Kluyveromyces lactis: one gene and its partners. The protein of the gene in region 1 interacts with the protein of each later gene in a pairwise test. Links are inferred from orthologs where the notes say so. Each region holds a gene or a part of one and is shown in the gene's direction. Other genes may lie near its edges.

The links. The genes of interacting proteins can lie anywhere in the genome.
Region 2: the proteins of HCA4 (region 1) and ESF2 interact in binary tests that used the Saccharomyces cerevisiae proteins (3 or more experiments, as listed by UniProt). The link is inferred for Kluyveromyces lactis from reciprocal best matches to the Saccharomyces cerevisiae genes HCA4 and ESF2.
Region 3: the proteins of HCA4 (region 1) and ESF1 interact in binary tests that used the Saccharomyces cerevisiae proteins (3 or more experiments, as listed by UniProt). The link is inferred for Kluyveromyces lactis from reciprocal best matches to the Saccharomyces cerevisiae genes HCA4 and ESF1.
Region 4: the proteins of HCA4 (region 1) and BFR2 interact in binary tests that used the Saccharomyces cerevisiae proteins (3 or more experiments, as listed by UniProt). The link is inferred for Kluyveromyces lactis from reciprocal best matches to the Saccharomyces cerevisiae genes HCA4 and BFR2.

The regions. Positions count from the first base shown.
Region 1 is NC_006040.1:801,205-805,389, reverse strand, and holds HCA4 (RNA-dependent ATPase HCA4), read left to right. Parts: upstream 1-1,294; coding exon 1,295-3,607; downstream 3,608-4,185. Other genes in the region: PML1 (Pml1p), read right to left, coding at 315-968; CTK2 (Ctk2p), read left to right, coding at 4,081-4,185. UniProt on the Saccharomyces cerevisiae protein: ATP-dependent RNA helicase required for ribosome biogenesis. Involved in the release of U14 snoRNA in pre-ribosomal complexes. Required for pre-rRNA cleavage at site A2.
Region 2 is NC_006039.1:1,673,292-1,676,315, reverse strand, and holds ESF2 (RNA-binding ATPase activator ESF2), read left to right. Parts: upstream 1-1,598; coding exon 1,599-2,480; downstream 2,481-3,024. Other genes in the region: KLLA0_C18887g (uncharacterized protein), read right to left, coding at 1-933; putative GTPase NOG2, read left to right, coding at 2,850-3,024. UniProt on the Saccharomyces cerevisiae protein: Involved in the small subunit (SSU) processome assembly and function, and in the 18S rRNA synthesis. Required for the early cleavages at sites A0, A1 and A2. Stimulates DBP8 RNA helicase ATPase activity.
Region 3 is NC_006041.1:1,888,677-1,892,741, forward strand, and holds ESF1 (pre-rRNA-processing protein ESF1), read left to right. Parts: upstream 1-1,637; coding exon 1,638-3,521; downstream 3,522-4,065. Other genes in the region: RTC5 (Rtc5p), read right to left, coding at 1-1,127; CDC40 (Cdc40p), read left to right, coding at 3,848-4,065. UniProt on the Saccharomyces cerevisiae protein: Involved in the 18S rRNA synthesis. Required for the early cleavages at sites A0, A1 and A2.
Region 4 is NC_006039.1:887,579-891,172, reverse strand, and holds BFR2 (rRNA-processing protein BFR2), read left to right. Parts: upstream 1-1,469; coding exon 1,470-3,050; downstream 3,051-3,594. Other genes in the region: ATP5 (F1F0 ATP synthase subunit 5), read right to left, coding at 1-569; ERC1 (Erc1p), read right to left, coding at 3,158-3,594. UniProt on the Saccharomyces cerevisiae protein: Involved in endoplasmic reticulum to Golgi transport. Involved in a protein-transport step blocked by brefeldin A, which disrupts the Golgi apparatus and its incoming protein flux. May also be involved for mass growth or cell proliferation.

The DNA.
Region 1 (4,185 bases):
TATTTGACAAGCTCTGATGCTGACCCGTATGTCTGGAACAACACAACTGCGGAAAGTTCCATTGACTTGTACGCAACGAGAAGAATAAAGCAGCAAAAAAAAAAAAAAGAAAAAGTTCTTGTTTAACATATTTAAAACGAGTCCAACTACCTCTTCCATTCTCTAGCATACATCGATATTGATTTATCTTTTTCTCACATAGTTTTGTAATGTATAGAAATTACATTTCCGATTTTATAAAATACAAATAATATAAGGTTTCAAGAAATCGATTCTCAAGAAGGACTTGTACATGAAAAATACAAAAGAATAGATCATACGGCTAGGAAAATGAGCTCATAATCTGAATCATTTGGATCTTCAGATACGTGTATAATATCAGAGCTCTTTAACTCGATATACCGGGCGCTAGGAACGGCTGAATCATTCAAACACGTACCGTTGGAAGAATCAAGATCAATCAAGTATGGAATTAAAGATTCACCGACTTGTCGGAATTGTACGGCACAATGTTCTTTCGAACAGCTTTCCTCTTGGATTGGGATATCAGCAAGAATAATTTCCTCTCCATCAGATTCGAAGCGTCGTAGACTCTGACCTAATCCTCTACCGATAATATAGCAACTTTTATCATGCAACTTAGTTTTACTTACTTCACCCTTGACGCCCTTCCTATACACAACAAGCTCATAACGAATTTGATCCCACTTAGGTACTTTTAGCTTTTTATAGAAATCGTGGGGTGATATCGCATCTTTGGGCTCTACATGCTTAAGTTGTATGCCTTTTTTCTGGTGGCTTTCCAGTTCCAATAATCCTGATGGCTCAAATATAGGCAAGATTACTTTTTTTTGGGCACCTTCATAGCGGCTTCTTTTCGTTTCGTGATCGTATCGATATCTGCTACCTTCACGTTTGATGCTCATTCTTTTGGCGCCGTTGCTTCCATAGATGACGGTATATTCCATATATCTTACATATTTATTCCATATATTGTGCAATTCACAATATAAGGTTCATCTGTCATTTCATCGCTTTTCATGTTGTAGGAAAAAAGAAATAGAAAAGAAAATTTTTGGTAAATAGAAGAGCTCATCTCATCTCATCTCATCTAGATAGAGGTTCGAACCTCAACCTCAAGGAAAAGTAGTTTACTTTGTCTTTGAGCGGTATCATTAATCGACCTATAGAGAAGTTGATTAAAGTAGCAAACTGGTGCATTTAATCATTTAACTAAACGTTTAATCAACTGTGCCAATATAACTTATAATTGGTTTGCAAAGAGCATTTAAAGATGGCCAAGAAACAAAAGCATAATACCCAGCAGCGTAAGCTGATTCGTGAAAGAGACAGCCAGAAGATCAAAGATCTTGAAACTAAGGTTGAAGAATATAACCCGAAAATTGCTAAGGCTAATTTGTTTCAAGATTTACCCATTAGTGAACAAACTCTAAAAGGGTTGAAAGAAGCAGCATTTATCAAATTAACCGAGATTCAGCGCGAGTCCATACCTCTCTCCTTGAAAGGCCACGATGTATTAGGCGCTGCCAAGACAGGTTCTGGTAAGACTCTAGCATTTTTGATCCCTGTTATCGAAAAGTTATACAGAGAGAAGTGGACAGACATGGATGGGCTAGGTGCATTGATCATCTCCCCAACAAGAGAATTGGCCATGCAAATATATGAAGTGTTAAGTAAAATTGGTAAGCACACTACCTTCTCCGCCGGTTTGGTTATTGGTGGTAAAGATGTTACTTTTGAGAAAGAGAGAATTTCGAGAATTAACATTCTAATAGGAACACCAGGCAGAATCTTACAGCATATGGATCAAGCCGTTGGATTCAATACTTCAAATTTACAGTTGTTAGTACTCGATGAAGCCGACAGATGTCTAGATATGGGTTTCAAGAGAACCCTTGATGCCATTATTAATAATTTGCCTGCTTCAAGACAAACACTTTTGTTTTCAGCTACTCAATCACAAAGTTTGGATGACTTGGCTAGATTATCTTTGACAGATTACAAACAGGTAGGAACGATGGAAGTTTTAAATGCTAATAGTTCATCTGCGACTCCAGAATCTTTACAGCAGTCATATATCGAAGTGCCACTACCTGACAAACTTGACATTCTGTTCAGTTTCATAAAATCGCATTTAAAGTCTAAGTTAATTGTGTTTCTATCAAGCTCTAAACAGGTGCATTTTGTTTATGAAACTTTCAGGAAATTACAACCTGGTATATCTTTGATGCACTTGCATGGTAGACAAAAGCAAACGGCGAGAACTGAGACGCTGGATAAGTTCAGCAGAGCGCAACATGTCTGTCTATTCTCAACTGATGTGGTTGCTAGAGGTATTGATTTCCCATCTGTTGATTGGGTGATCCAGGTTGATTGTCCTGAGGATGTCGATACATATATCCACAGAGTTGGAAGAGCAGCCAGATTCGGTAAAGAAGGTAAGTCACTCATTATGTTAACACCAGAGGAAGAGGAGGGATTCTTGAAAAGATTAAAAACTAAAAACATTGAGCCCAGTAGACTAAATATCAAACAATCAAAAAAGAAATCTATCAAACCTCAGTTACAATCACTCCTTTTCAAAGATCCCGAATTGAAATATCTAGGCCAAAAGGCTTTCATTTCTTATGTTAGATCGATATACATTCAAAAAGACAAAGAAGTCTTCCATTTCGACAAAATACCATTGGAACAATTTGCTAACTCTTTAGGTTTACCAGGTGCTCCAAAGATCAAGATGAGGGGAATGAAATCGATAGAGAAGGCAAAGGAGTTGAAAAATACATCAAGACAGCTCCTAACCCTAGCAAAGGCAAATGATGAAGGTGATGTGATTAAAGAAAACAAACCTGAAGTGAGGACCAGATATGACAAGATGTTCGAACGGAAAAACCAAACTGTGCTAAGTGAGCACTATCTGAATGTCACCAAAGCACAAGCTCATGATGATGAGGATGAAGATTTCATCATGGTTAAACGTCAAGACCATGAGTTGAATGAAGCTGAATTACCTGAACTTCTTGTTCCAACATCTAAGAGAGCCCAAAAGAAAGCATTATCAAGGAAGGCAACATTAGCATCTAATGGTAACCCAACCAAAGTCAAATTTGACGATGATGGTAAAGCTCATCCTGTTTACGAATTAGAAGATGAACAAGATTTCCGTCAAAATGGTAACTCAGAGAAGCAAAAAGAAGAGTTCTTGTCTAAGGAGGCAGAGCTTATGGCAAAGGTTGATGTAGAAGATAAACAGGTTGCAAAAGAGAAAAGGCAAGAAAAGAAACGTAAGAGACTAGAAGCAATGAGAAAAGAAATGGAAGCTGATATGGAGGATAGTGATTATGAGGATGAACCAGTAGCATACCTTGGAACTGGGAACCTAAGTGACGATATGCAATCTGGAGCTGACACTGAAGACGATTCTCAAGATGAAAGGCAACCAAGAAAAAAGAGCAAATATGCTGATTCCAGTGAAGATGAGGAAGAGGAAGAAAGAACTACTGAACGTGATAGAATTATCGAAGTGGAAGAGCCACAGACTCTTGAAGATTTGGAATCTCTAACAGCAAATTTGATTGGATCTTAGATTCATCAACTGCTTGACTTATTTAATCATGTATAAAAATAGACGATAACCTTGCATTCCAATAATAGGATAACATCTCCCTTTTAGGATTACGACAATACACTTGAATAATTTATTGCCTCATCAAAGTAGCTCTGGCATTTACCGACTTGCTTCGTGATTCAAAGCATTTCACCCACAGACCTTCCAAAGATCAAAACGTTTAAAATGACATGTTACTTGAAGGGAAATTTCATTCAAAAAGTTTTGTTTTAAACCTGTTCTGCGAATGAAAAATTAAAATGAAATAAGAATAGCTTTTGTATGTGTAGTATTATAGAAAGAAGCAAAAGTTGTCGTTTCTAAACGATAAGAGTTCTATTCTATCCAAAGTTGGTGTCAAATATAAGAAAACCCCAATATACCTGTATTAGATAGGCTGTGATTAGTGAGGGTAGAATTTCGTGGGTTTTAGTTCCAATTACTACTCTGCAATGTCGAATCAAAGTGACTTAATTTTATCCAGACCGTATCTTACTAAATCACAACTACAGAAATCCCAGAAATATAACATTCCTGATCGCCGAACATATAACCAA
Region 2 (3,024 bases), on another chromosome or scaffold:
CTTTGAGACGGCTTCATAGAAGTTTTCGAATTCTGCTTCCACACCAAAGAAAGGTTGTTCCTTAACTTCCACGGTTTCCTCCTCAGCTTCTACTTCTCCCGTAGAACCGATCATAGTCTTGATCGTGGTACATGTACGAGCATTGATGTTCATAGTGACAGACCCATTCAAACCGTAAACCTTCAAAAAGACACTCTTCTCAGTGGCACCGAATGCAGACCCATATGTAAACGTACCTATAACATCCGAGTCTCTGAGCTTTACGCTGGAAAACACTATATCGTTAGTACCAGATTCCTTTCTCAATTGGTTAGAAAACGCAGCAATGCTACCGATGTCCCCCAATAGAGTAGTCAACAACGCAAGTTGATGAACACCACCGTCGGACAAAAACCCACCAATGTGTTCTGGATGTTTTCTCCAACTGGTAGCCAGGTATTCACTCGATGGATAGAAGGGACCAGTGGAATTGTAAGTGAACGCAGCAATTGGACCAATCTTAGCCAATTTCTCTTTCATTATTGGCACACATTCTAAATGTAACCAATTCTCTGCGATAGCAACTGGAAGCTCGGTAGATTCAGCCAATTGAACCAATTTCTTAGCCTGTTCCAAGTTAGCTTCAATCGGCTTTTCCAAGATCACCGGTTTACCAGCTTCTACACTCTTCTTCGCAGTCTCATAGTTGAATTGAACAGGAACCATCACATCCACTACGTCAACGGAATCATCTTGCAACAAATGGTCCAAATCTGCGTAAACTTTAGACTCCTCGATACCAGCAGTGACAGCAAACGCATCTGCTTTACTCTTGGTCCTGTTGAAACATGCGACTGGTTTGAACTTATCGCTGTGCTGTTGGAAAGTGGGCAAGTGCTTGTTTCTTGCAAAGATACCGGTACCTACAATACCAACGTTTAAAGGTGCAGACATATTGTAAAATATATCGAGTGTGTGTTGTTTGTATTGGGGCGACTATAAATCAACAAGTCAAGCCAATTAGATCAAGGATACATGTGTTGTTCATCTATATCGGAAGCACTTCCCCTTTATATATCTGGATTAATCTCTCGAACGGACAAGGTTTTTCCGGTTTCTTGCCATTCGTGTCGGGTTATTATTAATCCAGTCACCAGTTGTCACAAACCGGATAACAGTGGAACGACAACGGCAATGTCAATGGCAATGAGCAATGGCAATGGCAACTCTGGTAGCAAAGCGGAGGGAACTACGCCAAGAGAGTGGGGAGGTTCCTGCTTTGACGTAGTTTTAAGCCGTTTCTATATAGAATATGTATGTAAGACCTGCACACCTCACTGAGAAAGCTGCTCAAGCGTGCAGCAAGAGCAGACATGGATCAAGTTCGCGATCTCCGGCCATACAGGCTGCAAACACCGGCTACAGACCCGTTACTTCATTGTGGTATCGGTCCGTCGTCCAGTACGATTGGTTCCCATTTCTTCTGTACAGTGAGTGCCATACTGAAAAATTTGGAACTAAAGCGATGAGATGAGATGAGATGAGATGAACCATATACATGAGAGAAGAGACAACAGACCACAAGGTTCAGCAGGTTAACTAAGGACAACAATAACACGATGAGCAAGGAGTACAGCGATGTGGATGATTTTGCGTCAGACGAAGAAGAGGACAACCAAGTGTTGATCACTGGGAAGGATGCGAAGAAGAATGTGATTCAGTTTGATCAAGAAGAGGACGAGGAAGAGCAAGAGGAAGAGGACGAGGAAGTACAGGATGAAGAAGAACCGGAGGATAAGGTAGTACAACTCACAGAACAGCAGATAGAGAAAGAAAAGCAGAGACGACTCAAAAAGCTTAAGAGCGATAAGAAGACGAAACACAAGACCGGTGTGGTTTACCTATCGAGGGTTCCACCGTACATGAAACCAGCCAAGCTAAGGCAGATTCTCACAAGATTCGGTGAAGTGGACCGTCTGTTCTTGAAACGTGAAGAGGAGCACAAGCACCAGCAGCGTGTCAAGAGTGGTGGGAACAAGAAAACGATGTTTGAAGAAGGTTGGGCCGAGTTTATCAGAAAGAAGGACGCTAAACTGTGCGCATCGACTCTAAACGGTAATATTATCGGTGGTAAGAAGGGAAATTTCTACCATGACGACGTCATGAACGTTAAATACTTGCCCGGGTTCAAATGGGCCGATTTGACAGAACAAATCGCTAGAGAAAACGATATCAGACAAGCAAAGCTACAATTGGAAATCTCACAGGCCAACAAGTTGAACGCAGAGTTCATCCATAACGTAGAGAAATCAAAGATGGTCAACAAGATGAAACAGAGCAAGAAACGTAACCAACAAGAATCACAGCAGGTCGATGAAGAAGTTCGCAGGACTTTCAAACAGAGGAAAGTCGCTTCGACAAGAGCATCTGCTCCAGATTCTCAGAGACAATCCCAACCGCAATCGAAAGCACTCAACGATGTCATGCATAGTTTATTCTAAGATGACTATATAACACATATATAAAGCATATAGCCAAGCCAAAAGCCCTACAGAGAGTACAACTCATCGCCTGCCATTCCCATGGTCAAAGATCAGGTTTCTTTTTCATTCCCATAGTGTAAGAAAAAGTGAAAAGAAAAAATTTTCCAGCTCATCTCATCTCATCTCATGAATTGGAACAGGAACAAAGGCAGGTTCATCAGTGGTTTGTTTCGATTCAGGTTGATCTCAGTCCAGGCAAGAGACATTCAGTTACTTATTCTTCCATCTGTTTGAGTTTTCGATCGAAATTGAACGTGTTCGTTACCACAAAGAACGAACAAACGAACGAACCAAAGGAAACCTAATTGAAATCTATACCAAGGCACAATGGGTACCGGTAAGAAGGAAAAGCAAAGGAGAATCCGCGAAGGTAATACCAAGGATGGTAACCTTCGTGTGAAGGGTGAGAATTTCTACAGGGACACCAAGAGAGTGCAGTTTTTGAACATGTACAAAGGTGGTAGATCTGTTCGTAATGCAAAGGGTGACATTATCAAGGCTG
Region 3 (4,065 bases), on another chromosome or scaffold:
TTTAACTTACCATATTCTTGCAGAAAGTTTCTATACCTTGGATTTTTCACGGCATAAGCATCGCCATCTTCATCGTCCTCGTCACGAATTCTCATACCCTCTACGAATAATATCGTAGGTGCCATCCACTTGAAGACCTTAGATTGGAAAGATCTCATAGAAAAGCCCGATTCCCTTCCAACATATAATTTCTGGAACCTGGAGAAAACAATCTCCTTCGGTAAAAAAGTTGCTAACTGCGATAGCTCAGATTCATTTACAATTTTAGTAGGATTTGAGATTGGTTGAAGAACGTCCGCGTCTACGAGATCTCTATCCATATAAAGAACATGTTCCATTAGCATTTTCAAGGGATTTAAAAGATTAGGGGCAACATCATTAACGGCCATGGAAAATTGGGTATATGTGATTGATGAATCCAAACAGTCTGACATTGATATAATCTCGGGGTTCATTGTGCGTACAATATTAAGAGCTTGATGTTTGAAGTCCTCTAAGCTCTTCGCCAAAACATCATTGTCAATTTTACAATTGTTCAAAATGCAGCAGCGAGAAAGAGCCAATATCAATGCCAAAAAGTGAAGAAGATTATTTGCATTTACTTTCAATTCATCAAAATCAGTTCCGTTATAAGATCTAATGACCCCTTTCCAATCCTTACAATCAGATAGAGCCGAAGAGTCCATGAGAGGTTCAGCTTTGATATTCTTTTCCAAAGAGAGCGTAATAAATAGCATTTTCAAATCATTGTACTTTTTCCAATCGGTGTACTTGATGGCTCTTTCCTTGACTAGTAATAGCGTGGCCTTTAACAAGGTTTTGAAAGTAACCTTTTCGTAGGAATCTTGTAGAAGTGGAAAGTTCGCTAGAGTATGAAACATATTCATAAATACCGATAACATTACAGCACTATCTTTCGGGATATAATACATTCTGCTAATATCTGAAACCTCGACATAATCGTTTAGTTCTTTGCCCTCAGGAATATTGTTCTTGAACGAAATTAGTTCAGCAGTAGTTAATTGTTTTAAGCATCTGTCATTGAAAAAATCCATTAAAGATTCTCCTTTTAGTTTAGATTCATTTGTCCTAGCATTTTCATGCTCTTTAGAAGTTGATTGGCCCATTTTGCATACATTATTGTGACAGTTATCCTTATGGCTTTCCTTCTTAGCACCTTTTCAGAGTATGTGTAAGAGTAAATCCTTAAATATACCTTAATGTAAAAAGAGGAGACTACGTACTAACACAAAGAAACAAAATGTTAACATATAAGAAAATGGTTGGGAGCAAGAAATTCCTGACAAGGTAGACTAGAGCCAGCCTGTATACATGGTATATGAAAGTGAAAACATATAGTTCTTCCGACCTGTAATTGCTCTTTACGGCTCGATTACATCTGTATTTGGCTCTTTTCACGTGACCGAAGTTCACCAACATTATTTTTTTTCTTTTTGATTTTAGAGTTTTTTTTTTTTCTTTTCAAATTATGCCAACCTCATCTCATCTCATCTCATCGACACCTACTAGTTAATCAGTAAGTTCAAGATTTTAAACCTTATGCACATCTAGTTTCGGTATCGTGCCAACGAAATCAACTAAGTGAACAATTTAGAGTCATATTAGTATACTAAAGGATGAATTCGAAAGGGGAGAAAAAGGAGAAGATCACTGAAGATCCAAGATTTTCTGGGATTCATAATGATCCTAAGTTTAGGTCAACTAAATCCAAGAACTTTAAGATCAAATTGGATGATAGATTCAGTAAACAAGATCTAGAAGTCAGACGTAAAGCAAAAGTTGATAAATATGGTAGAAAAATTGTGGATGCTAACAAGGATGTAAAGGATTTTGATCGTTATTTTACCAAGGAAAAGCCGGAGGACAAGGAGGATGAGTCTAATTCATCCGAAAGCAGCGATGATCAAGAAGCTGAAGCTGCTGTTCATGCAAAATCTGTTGATAGAGCTCGTGGTGAACCTCCTGCTGATTACGTTTCTTCTTCTGATGAAGAGTCCTCCTCTGAATCCGAAGAAGAATCTGGGGACAGTGACATTGAATCAGAAGAAATCGAACTAGAAGAGTCCAAACCTGCTAGTGGAAATGCCACAAATACGTTGGCTGTAGTGAACCTGGATTGGGATCATGTCAAATCTGCTGATTTGTTTGTCACATTTAAGTCTTTCGTGCCTAAGGGAGGAGAGATTCAAAAAATTGCCATATATCCAAGTGAATTTGGTAAAGAAAGGATGCAACGTGAAGAGATCGAAGGTCCTCCAAAAGAATTATTCCAGTCAAAGAAATCCAAGAAGAATGATAAAGATGATGATGAGATTAATGTCGAATCAATTTATGAGGAAGGAGACGCAGAGGACTATGATTCTAAAGCACTTCGTCGTTACCAATTGGAACGTCTAAGATACTATTATGCCGTGGTTTACTGCAGCGACATTAGGACAGCCGAATCAATCTATCAAAACTGTGATGGCACAGAATATGAATCTACAGCCAATGTCTTTGATTTAAGGTATGTGCCTGATGGTATGGAAATGGATGATGATCCTCGTGATGAATGTACCTCGCTTCCAAAAAATTACAAGCCGGCACAATTCAGTACAGATGCCCTTCAGCATTCCAAGGTAAAGCTTACATGGGATGAAACTCCTGCAGACCGTGTGGAAATATCTAAAAGAGCATTCACTCAAAAAGAAATTGAAGAAATGGACTTTAAAGCTTATTTAGCCTCCGATAGTGAAGAATCTGAAGTTGAGCATGATGATCAAGTTAAAAATAAACTCAAGGCTTTAGTAATGGATTCCGTAAAAGTGGGGCAAAAGTCACTATTTGATCAAAAGGAAGATGAAGACGATAATGAGGCTGATATGGAAATAACTTTCACTCCAGGCCTGGATGAGTCTGGCCAACAAGATACCAATGATAACGAAGAGGAAAGCACCATTGATAAGATTAGACGTAAAGAAAAAGAAAGACGTAAGAAGAGAAAGGACAGAGTCAAGGAGCTTAAGAAGGAATCAGAAGCCAAATTAAAGGAGAACCTTAAGAAGAAGAAAGATACTTCTCACAGCATCGATGACGATAAGAAAAAGGGAGAGTTAGAGCTCTTAATGCTAGATGAAAATGAGGGTGAATCAACAATTAACAACAAGGCACACTTCAACATGAATGAGATTCTCAAATCTGAGAAGGAAAAATCCAAAAAGGCCAAGTATCAAAACAAGGAGAAGATTGTGGATGATGAATTCACTCCAGACGTTAATGATCCAAGATTTAAAGAGGTCTTTGAAGATCACGATTTCGCGATTGATCCTACTCAACCAGAGTTCAAGAAGACACCAGCTATGGAGAAGATTTTAAAGGAACGTACAGTACGTTCAAGCAAAAAATCTAGGGGCAAAAAGCGTAACCACGAAATTGCAAATACTGAACATAGTAAAGACATAAATAAGATCGGCGGTTTAGTTGAAAAACTTAAGGCCAAGAACAAAAGAACAAAACACTAATTTGCAAACTTGTGGACACTTTATATCAACCCAAAGACGTCCACATCTTATATGTATATATTCAGCATTTGATTAAAGCATAAATACATCATTTCACTTAATCATGCGACTGTATCATGGCATGGTCTGTAACTTTAAGTCATTTCCTTATTTATCCAGATTTGTACGTCATATTCTGTGTGTGAACAAAAAGAAAAAGTGCACATTATCACATTATATGAAATAGGTTCATCTTTCTAAAGATTATCTAAAATTGTAGGTAATACACGGACAAACCGATAAACTTACTAGATAGACTCTGCCACTGCCATAATATCCAGGGAATAATGGGGCTGGTACAGGGTTATGAAAGTGAGAGTAGTGATGATGGCTCATCTGTAGCTGTGCCTAAGAGATCGTTAAAAACATCAAAGGCTGAATTGAAGTCCAAAAGACTTAGGAGGAACGGGAAAGGACCATGGGCAAAATGGCAAGGATCTAGTGACGATGAGATCGAACAATTATCAAAGGATTCAAATGCTTCTAATTCCTTAGATTTAGGTGG
Region 4 (3,594 bases), on another chromosome or scaffold:
GACAAATCGACGGTTCTGTCGGAAACTTCAACGATTAAACCACCTTGGATTTCAGGCTTGACAACGTTCTCCAATTTCAAAGACTTACCCTTACCAACCAAAGAGGAAGCAGCCAAGGCCTTTTCCACTCTCTTGAACAACTTAGAGTCCAAAGGTTGAGCAGTGGTAACAGTCGCTTGCACAAGACCATGGTAAGCATCAGTCAACTTGGAGAATTGGGAAGTGACATGTTCTAACAAGGATAATCTGTTGTTTTCAGCCAAAACCTTCAACAAGTTTTGAACGGATTGATCCAAATTGATTTTCTTGGACAAAGTGTCAACAACAATGTTTCTATCTTCAGCAGACAAGGCTGGGTTTTCCAAAATGCTGGTCAACTTGGTGTCCTTGGCAACAGTTTCCTTCAAAGCATTCAATGAGGAAGCAGCAGCTTCAACGGAAGTGGTCTTTGAGGCAGCAGTGAACAATGCAGTGGCATAGGTACCATCCAAACCGAACAATTGCACTGGAGGCTTAACACCAGCCTTGGCAGAAGCTGCCATAGAACGAACAAATACTCTGGAAAACATGACTCTGTATATAGTGGTCTCTTTGATTCAATAATTCAATGATTTTATGGTTATTCAAACAATTGGAAGAAAACTTGCTCAATAGATTAAATGAAGTTTAAAGCTTAAGATAAGGTTTGGTACAATGGCAATAACAAAACACACACCTAATCGGAAAAGAGAGACTTGTCTTAATCTGATCAATGCAGAATCACTAACAAAATAGCAAATACACTTAAAAAATACAAATAAGCTAACGTAGAACGAAAGCTTCTTTTCCTGTAAATTACAAATTTATTTCTTAAAGGTGTGGAAATATTGAAAGTTCAATAAATTTTCAATTTTTTTTCCTTCCTTTACCTATATTTTTTCAAAACTTTCTCTGTTTTTGATCGGATCCTCCCTCCTATGTGTTCTTCTTTGTCTCTGTTTCGTTTCTGCTCTTGTGTTCTTGTTCCGGCCAAAGAGGTCCAAAAAAAAAAAAAAAAAACACGATCTAAGTTCCTCAGTAGTCGTAGGAAACGATGACGTGTTTTCATTGGTTGCGAGTCACGTGGAAATTAAACACTATGCTTTCACTTTTAATAGATATATTTGACCTTAATAGACGCTATGAGGCTTCTTAAAAGTAATTTGTATTGGATATTTGGTGCATCGAGAGTTTGAGACTAAGAATCGCTATCTTACAATCACGTGATTTAATAATAGCACGTGATCTATATATTTTCCTCTTCTTTTTGAAGATCCGAAAAGGTAATCTGGAGTTTCTTTTTTGTAGTTGAAAAATTCAAGAAAGTTGATGTTTGAGAGATGAGACGAGATGAGATGAGATGAGAGACTCTTATATGGATAAATCAGCTGTACTCAATAGTGAGTTGTAAGTGAGGACGGTGAAGTACACGTAAAATACACGCAGATTAAATGGGTAAAAAGTCTTTGGCCGAACAAATCGCAGACATTGCGAATAAACCACAAGTTGAAGATTTCGACATTGAGAATGATGAAGGTGTATTTCAACATGGTGGGTCCGATTCAGATGTTAGTTCTGGCGATGAGAGCGAAGAAGAGTTGAAGAAACAGCATTATGTGGCAGTAGGAAAGTCAAAACTTAGAAATGTGGTCGATCAAGGATTGGCCGTAAAGGATAAGAAATACGTCGGGAGCAAAGGGTCTAGAGCAGAACTGTTCAATGACGAAGAAATGGACGCTCCTGAACAAGGAGAAAGTGAGTCTGAAGCTGAATCCGGATCTGAAGAGAGTGATGCAGTATCCTTTAGAAGCGATTCAGAAGATGTATCCGAATCTGAAGCCACTTCCGAGTCAGAAATAGAGAAAGATAGAGAGGAAGATGAGGAGACTGCGATGAAGAAAGAGAAATTGGCCAAGATAGTACAGACGCAAACTAAACAAGTGATTAATAATTTAGCACATTCCGCTCAGAGAGATGCTTCCAAAGGTTATGCCATCTTACAACAGAATAAATTCTTCGATAAAATTCTAGACTCTAGAATTAAGTTGCAAAAAGCATTATCCGCTTCAAACCAGTTACCACTTTCTCAACAATCTTGGGATGAACTTCTAGATGAAAATAACTCCAAATTGCTAACTAGTACTTTCAAAGTTTTAGAGAAAGTTTTGACCCAGTGTGTTACAGTAAGGCATAAATTCCAAATCGGTGATCACATAAACCAATCTGAGAACCCTTCTGACTTCGATAACAGCAAAAAGAGAAGTTTTAAGGAACTAGTACATGAAACTGTAACATTGGATTCTGATTTAAAATCATACCGTTCTGCCGTACTTAACAAATGGTCAGCAAAAGTTTCTGCATCATCAGGAAAATCTCTTCTGCAAGCCTCCAAGTTTAAAGCGATCAACCAGTCAGCTGATGTACAAGTGGATAACCAACTTGCTGATATGCCAAGATTACTTAAAAGGACAAAACTCAATAGAAGCAATACTAAACCTTTGTTGTTTGATGAAGATTTACAAAAAGGTCTACTAAAAGAATTGCAACTGGAGGAAAACGTAGAAGGAGACATCGAAGAAGAAAATAATTTGGATATTCCAAAGAATTACGATCCAAGAAGGAAGGATAACAATGCATTAGATTTTACCCAAAACCCATATATCTATGATGACGAAGATTTTTACAGAGTTTTGTTGAATGATCTTGTTGAGAAAAAAATATCTAACTCTCAACAATCCAATGGTGTTACTTTGGCCATCACTTCTCGCTCTGAAAACAAGCTCAAGAAAAACATCGACACCAAGGCTTCAAAGGGTCGTAAACTAAATTACTCTATTCAAGAACCAATTGCCAATTATGAAGCATCAGTTAATACTGGGTATAAATGGTCGGATGAGCAAATTGATGAATTCTTTGCTGGTTTATTAGGTCAAAAGATCAACTTCAATGAAGACGATGAATTGGAAGCTGACACGATGCACAACGAGGAAGACGAAGAGATCAAAAATGACGATATTCAAATTTTCGGATAATTTGGAGTTCGACCTTCAACTTGTATTTATTTTTCATCTATTGTTTATTATTATAATTAAAATATGTACACGGCATTCAAAATGTCCAACAAACTGACATCGACAAATCAAACATCGATAATATTGCTCATGTTACTTGCCATACTCTCTAAGTCAACCTCATTTTCTTCTTTTTCTCTTCTATGGCATTCTTCCACTATGTTTTCCCAATTGGAATTGAAAACACAATAGCTCAAAGCAAACGCCAGTAATAAGATCCCGGTACCGCATCCGTACCAAAGCCCTTTTAATCCCAACTGAAATTTACCAAAAGTTAGCCATCCACTTAAAGGCAATGCGATAAAATAGTATGCTATGATATTTAACAGGCTGCCAACTTGCTGCCGTCCTTGTGCACGTAATATCGCAGCGCTAAAAGTTGTGAATGCATCATATAATTGGTTAACTGCCAAAATTGGAGCGACATGACGATATAACTCAACGACCTCTTTGTCTTTAGTGAACAAATACGCTAAATTCTTGTCACCTGTTAAAATCAAACAAC